Linked DNA regions of Ovis aries. The protein of the gene in region 2 purifies or fractionates together with the protein of the main gene of each other region. This does not show direct contact. Links are inferred from orthologs where the notes say so. Each region holds a gene or a part of one and is shown on either strand. Other genes may lie near its edges.

Region 1 (3,502 bases), on a different chromosome or scaffold from region 2:
CTGATACTGAGCCCCACTCCTCAGTTGAGGTGGATGGAGCTATGCCAGCCTGTCTGGATGAGAAAGCTGAGGATGGGTCCCATACCAGCCCTTCAGGGACAGCACAAGGGGCGCCCCTGGTCTCTGGCACCTGTGGGGTGTGGCGCATCACCTCCCCAATAACCCAGGGCGGCAGAGGCACTGAGGAATGCAAACGTCCACATGACCTCGGGCCCACTGCAGCAGCTGCGGATGTGGGGGTCTTGGAGTGCGAACCCAGGAGGTGGGGGCACATAGCGTTTCCTTTGTCTCAGGACCGACCCCGTGATTCTGAACCCTTGGCTTCCGAAGGTGTTACTGAGGGAGAAGCCTCAGCAGATGAACCTGTGGGTCAGGGGACCCGTCTCCCTCATCTGCCTGTCCCTCCATCCCCAGATAAATAGCCAGGGATTCAGAGCAGGAAAGCAGACGGCGTCTCTCAGCCCCTTTGTGGTGGTCCAATAAGCTATGCATCCCAATTGTCGTCAGGGCAAAAGCGGTGCTCTTTCTTTCTTTCTTTTTAAAAAATTAATTTATTTTGATGGGAGGATAGTTTTCTTTACAGTATTGTGAGGGTTTTTGCCAGGACGAGGGAGACACGGGTGCTTTTTTCAATCGCGGAATTAAATGACACTCTTTCCCGTCCCTGCCACAGGTGGCGCGCCGGTGGGGAAAGAGGAAAAACAAGCCCAAGATGAACTACGAGAAGCTCAGCCGCGGTTTGCGCTATTACTACGACAAGAATATCATCCACAAGACGTCAGGCAAGCGCTACGTGTACCGCTTCGTGTGCGACCTGCAGAACTTGCTGGGCTTCACGCCCGAGGAACTGCATGCCATCCTGGGCGTCCAGCCGGACACGGAGGACTGAGCCCGCCCGGGCCGGGAGCGGGCTGTCAAAGCGACCCGTCCCAGGACCCTGAAAGGCCGGACCGGCGCATCCAGCACGCCTCTCGGAAGCAGTGGCCTTACTCCATCCGACACCGCCGGAAGCAGCTCGGTTTCTCGCTTCTGAAAGCCTGCTGCCGGGAACCGCCGCTTAACGATGCTATTCCATTCGATCGGCCCAGGAAGAAGCTTGGGGCCCCCTGCCTAGCCCTGGGCGGGCTGTGTGGTGACAGGATCGTTCAGGCAGTTGGGTCTTCTCAAAGGAGCGAGCGTGTCACGGACGCACACTTCTTGGATTTTTCTTTTGCCTTTTTGCAGCCAGGAATCCCACAAGAGCTCTCTTTGGTTCTGAGGGGGAGGAGGGGGCAAAGACACATGCTGTTTCTGAAGTTAGTTTGTATATATGACTGTAACCTTGTAATTGTTATTAGAGTCCCCTAACAGACCTATTTAACAGAAATTGTATATTGTAATTTAAAATAATTATATAACTATGTGAAAATAGGAATGCAGATGGTATTTTGCAATGTTCGCTGGTTTTCAAGAGCACTGGCGTCCTTTTGCAAACATTTAATCTGCCGGCGCAGATTAAGAGAAATTGTAAAGTGTATATTATTTACATTTAATGTGCCTACAGGAATAAGGTCTAAGAAGGTTCCTTCCTGTTTTGTTTCGTTTTGCCTGGGTTATTATCTATGGCAAGGACTTTGTACATTAGGGAATTTTTATAAGAAACTTAATGTTATTATCTGGGGGCCTCTCCTGGCCTCTCTGCTTCTCCTTTAATTGTAATGTAAAAGCTATAAAGCAGTATTTTTCTTGACAGATGGCATATGTTTTCCATTTCTATGCATGCCTTGAAATAAGTTTATATACAAAATTTACTTTATTTTTTAGTTCAACTGTGTTTTCCCCAGCCACTCACCTCCCCTGACCAGGCATTTCCTTCCCCAGCCCCATCCCCACACCCCAAATTATGCTGTATGATTAAAATAGGAATACTATTTTTGGAACTATGCGACTCCTTTTCAGAGATCAGGAGGGATTTATGTAGCAGCTATTTTTACTGCAAAAGTAATTCACTGGAAAAAAAAATGTAATTTGTAAGAAAGTTTTACTTTTACTGCAGCACTGTGGAAAGTGAACCAACCGTACAGAGCTGAAGGTGCAGGGGCAGGGGAGGTTTAATTAATAAACCTCTCGAGCATGAGTGGAGCCTGATTTTGTCCCGTCTTGCTTACCTGTGGAGTCTCAGGCTTTCCGGACACCAAGCTGCTCCTTTCTGTTGAGTGTCCACAGTTTTTATTTTCTTGCACACAGAATGATGCCCAGAGGCAAATAGAGGGTCAGCAAGATGGGAAAGAGAAGGCATTGGGGTCGTTCATGTGAAGAAAACGTCTTCATCGTGATGGAGAATTTCACAGTCCTTTCGAAGGAACCCCTGGTTCAGCCTGTGTTCCTGGCTTTTGTAAACGGATCGAGTTGGTTTCCAAGTCAGACTTCACTAGCGTCGTAGGGGGACCAGTGGTGACGTCTCTGAAGACAAATCCTCCATGTGATGAGATGGGGGAATTGGGTGGTAGGGTGAGCAGAGGAGAGCCGGAAGGGGGACCACTGAGTCTAGTACCAGACAAGACTGTTTGCACTATGGCTAAGCACAGGATGTTCTTCTCAAGCAAGACCTGTTTATCTGCTGGACAGCTGTTTATAACATCAACAGACATGCGGCTGGGAACATCTAGCTGCTGAAAGAAATCAGCCATCCGCTCGCTCATTTTATTTGGGCTTTGACCGCATGAATTTGCCAGTATTTGTCTGTTTTTATCTACAGAGTTGGCAATTTTACATGGCTCGACCCAAGAGTCATGGAAAATCAAATCCATGGTAAACCTTTGGCATGATAATAAACAGGACTTATATATCACAGTTTTGTAATCTGGCCTTTTCTTTCTCAAATAATAAAGTATTTTGTTTACATCAATTCCTCCTTGTAAGAGTCTTCATGCTTCAACCCTATGCCTACCTCCCCCAGCGTGGAGGCGGTGGATCCAGAATGCTGGGCCAGCCCCTCGGTGGCTGTCACTTCAGGTCACAGCCCCTTTGAACTGACTTTACGCGCTTCTCCCCCAGCAAATCAGGACAAAGCTGGAACCAACTGTGAACCTTCCTGAAGCAATTCCTAAAAAGTGTTCCTTAAAGAGAAGGTTTTTCAAGGAGAGATTAGAAAGATTTGGGTATCTTGTCTTCACCTGGGCTTTGGCAGAGATCACAGAACAGACTTCAGGATATTTTTGTTAAGAACACGAGGGTAGCAACATCCGTGGTGGTCCAGTGATTCAGTCTCTGCTTCCATGCAGTGGGGTGCAGGTTTGATCCCGAGTCAGGGAACTAACTTCCCACATACTGTGTGGAATGACCAAAAACCTAAATAGGTTTTTAAAGATCCAATTAAAGAAAGAAGAACCTTAGGGTTGGAAGCTCAAAGACTTGTAATTGAGGCCTCGACTCCCCTGGAGTGCTGACGTAACCGAGACGAGGGTGGTGATCCTAGGATGCCTGAGCGCAAACTCATTCTTGGACCTCTTTTCCACTCTCC
Region 2 (3,650 bases):
CAAACCATGGAAAATTCTTAAAGAGATGGGACTACCAGACCGTCTCATCTGCCTTCTGAAAAACCTGTATGCAGGTCAAGAAGCAACAGTTAAAACCGGACATAGAACAAAGGACTGGTTCCAAACTGGGAAAGGAGTACGTCAAGGCTGTAGACTGTCACTCTACTTATTTAACTTACATGCAGAATACATCATGTGAAATGCTGGGTTTGATGAAGCACAAGCTGGAATCAAGATTGCGGGGAGAAATACCAATAACCTCAGATATGCAGATGACACCATCCTTATGGCAGAAAGCGAAGAGGAACTAAAGAAGGTGAAACAAGAGAGTGAAAAAGCTGACTTAAAACTCAACACTCCCAAAACAAAGATCATGGCATCCAGTCACAGATGGGTAAACAATGCAAACAGTGACAGATTTTTATTTTCTCAGACCCCCAAATCACTGCAGATGGTGACTGCAGCCATGAAATTAAAAGACCCTTGCTCCCTAAAAGAAAAGCTATGACAAACATAGAAAGCATATTAAAAAGCAGAGAGATTACTTTGCCAACAAAGGTCTGTCTAGTAAAAGCTATGGTTTTTCCAGTAGTCATGTATGGATGTGAGAGTTGGACCATAAAGAAAGCAGAGCTGAAGAATTGATGCTTTTGAAATGTGGTGTTGGAGAAGACTCCTGGGAGTCTCTTGGGCTGCAAGATCAAACTAGTCAATCTTAAAGGAAATCAGTCCTGAATATTCAATGGAAGGACTCATGCTGAAGCTGAAGCTCCAGTACTTGGGCCACATGATGTGAAGAGCCGACTCATTAGATAAGACCCTGATTACTGGGCAAGATTGAAGGCAGGAGGAGAAGGGGACAACTGAGAATGAGATGGTTGGATGGCATCACCAACCCAATGGACATGAGTTTGGGCAAGCTCCAGGAGATGGTGAAGCATAGGGAAGCCTCGTGTGCTGCAGGCCAAGGGGTCGCAAAGGGTCGGACACAACTGAGAGACTGAACAACAACAACAATCATTGTGAAATAAAGTTTCCAACGCTAGAGCTACCCCTGCCTATCTATTCACTAGTCTGCAAGTTACAGATGGAAAGGAAGGAGAGGGCCAAGATAAAAGAAATCTGTTAACAGGGCTTTATAAATCTAATCTTGAGAAAAAACAGGCCAAAAGAAGACAGTAACGGGAAAGAACAAACAGTAAAGACAGATACACACACCACACACACACACATACACAAAAATAGAAAGATCAATGAAATTGGCAGAAAGAAATATAGAATTTCTGCCTTGAAACATGATTTACTTCATTCAAAGATTTTGGTATACACTCAGAATTTAATACAATTCAGAATACAGTGATGTCTAAATATTTCAACAAAAAAGTTCATTTCACAGTATATGTACAGGAACTGGTTATAAATACATCACAGGCATGAATTCAGAAAAAATTATTATAATGAAGATGCAGAATATTCATTTTTCTTTCACTCCAAGAAATAAAGATTTTTGTGCTTATTAGACTATTTTTAGAATAATCAGTAATCGCAAAGGATCACTATGGGTTTCAATAAATATGTGTATTTCTGTTAGGTTTTAAAAGGAATTAATTCGGGGGGGAGACCCAAATAGTACCTTTTGCATCATCAGAACCTGAAGCCAAGAGTTTAGGATCCATCAAATTAAAGTCAACACTCCAACATCTCTTCTCATGTTCCTAGATGTAGAAGGAAGACAAAGTAGTCTCAGAATATAGATCTTAAATAAAGCAAAACAAATAAACATAGCTGATACCAATTTATCACTATGGTGGGAGGGAGAAAGAACTGGCTATGAAAATAAAGGAGATGCAAAGTAGCTCCATAAACTTTTTAAATATACATTTATAAAATTACCACTTTTGGAAATTCATCCTACAAATGCAAAGAGCATTACTGGAATTACATAGGTAGACGGTTGGATGGCATCCCTGACTCGATGGACATGAGTTTGAGCAAGCTCTGGGAGTTGGTGATGGACAGGGAAGCCTGGGGTGCTGCAGTCCATGGGGTCGCAAAGTGTCAGATATAAATGAGCGGCTGACCTGAGGAACTGCTGCTGCTGCTGCTGCTAAGTTACTTCAGTTGTGTCAGACTCTGTGCGACCCCACTGACGGCAGCCCACCAGGCTCCCCCGTCCCTGGGATTCCCCAGGCAAGAATACTGTAGTGGGTTGCCATTTGAACTGAGGAACTGAGGAAATGCTAAACAATGATTTTAAATTTGTAATTATAAAATGCATGAAGCTCTATAATTATTAAAAAGTACAAATGTGATTCTTGCAACAAGCTCCAATATTTTGGCTACCTGATGCAAAGAGCTGACTCACTGGAAAAGACTCTGATGCTGGGAAAGATTGAGGGCAAAAGGCAAACGGGATGACAGAAGATAAGATTGTCAGATGGCATCATCGACTCAATGGACATGAGTTTGAACAAACTCTGGAGATAGTGATGGACAGGGAATCTGGTGTGCTGCAGTCCATGGGATCGCAAAGAGTTGGACACGACTGAGCGACTGAATAGTAACAACAACCACAGGTAACTAGTATTCTTATTTACCTGATAGACCTTTGACCTCTGTCCTGTGAATCCATCCCATAGGATGACGGTGCCTTCATAATCACTGCTGGCTAATAGGTTCTTATGATAACTACTCCAACTGATACAGCTGAAAGAAAGGGATATTAAGTTAAGCCTTATTTTACATAAAAATAAATAGCAATGGATACAAAGAATTTGGACGTGTTCAAAAAGATTAGAACCCTTTCAAAATGGTCTACATAAGTTCACAATAATTATTTTGCCCACAATCCATCAAGGAAGAAGGCATCAAATAATTCCCAGAGTATTCAATTGAAACTACCAAGTCACAAACCATAACCACTCTTCACTCTCATCACCAGCTAGAAGACAGATATGGTGTGCCTAAAGTTGCTACTGGCCATCCTTGACACATGAAAATACATGTCTGTAGGTGGAGATAACAGAGGCCAGGGGGGCACACGTATGTCATGGCAGAGACACATGAGGAATACATGTCTGTAGGTAGAGATAACAGAGGCCAGGGGGGCACACATATGTCATGGTGGAGACACATGAGGAATACATGTCTGTAGGTGGAGATAATAGAGGCTGGGGGGGCACGCGTATGTCATGGCAGAGACACATGATGAATACATGTCTGTAGGTAGAGATACAGGGGCCGGGGGGACACACATATGTCATGGTGGAGACACATGAGGAATACATGTCTGTAGGTGGAGATAATAGAGGCTGGGGGGGCACGCGTATGTCACGGCAGAGACACATGAGGAATACATGTCTGTAGGTGGAGATACAGGGGCCAGGGGGACACACATATGTCATGGCAGAGACACATGAGGAATACATGTCTGTAGGTGGAGATACAGGGGCCGGGGGGACACACATATGTCATGGCAGAGACACATGAGGAATACATGTCTGTAGGTGGAGATAATAGAGGCTGGGGGGGCACGCGTATGTCATGGCAGAGACACATGAGGAATACATGTCTGTAGGTGGAGATAACAGAGGCTGGGGGGGACACACATATGTCATGGCAGAGACACATGAGGAATACATGTCTGTAGG

The links. Proteins that work in one complex are often made in the same cells at the same time.
Region 1: the proteins of COP1 (region 2) and ETS2 purify together in Homo sapiens (affinity purification with western blotting; 3 studies listed by BioGRID and IntAct, with this or other methods). This does not show direct contact. The link is inferred for Ovis aries from reciprocal best matches to the Homo sapiens genes COP1 and ETS2.

What each region holds. Positions count from the first base shown.
Region 1 is NC_056054.1:271,801,992-271,805,493, forward strand, and holds the end of ETS2 (protein C-ets-2), read left to right. Parts: intron 1-673; coding exon 674-889; 3' UTR 890-2,887; downstream 2,888-3,502. UniProt on the Homo sapiens protein: Transcription factor activating transcription. Binds specifically the DNA GGAA/T core motif (Ets-binding site or EBS) in gene promoters and stimulates transcription.
Region 2 is NC_056065.1:56,630,448-56,634,097, forward strand, and holds part of COP1 (E3 ubiquitin-protein ligase COP1), read right to left. Parts: intron 2,707-3,650; coding exon 2,598-2,706; intron 1,716-2,597; coding exon 1,634-1,715; intron 1-1,633. UniProt on the Homo sapiens protein: E3 ubiquitin-protein ligase that mediates ubiquitination and subsequent proteasomal degradation of target proteins.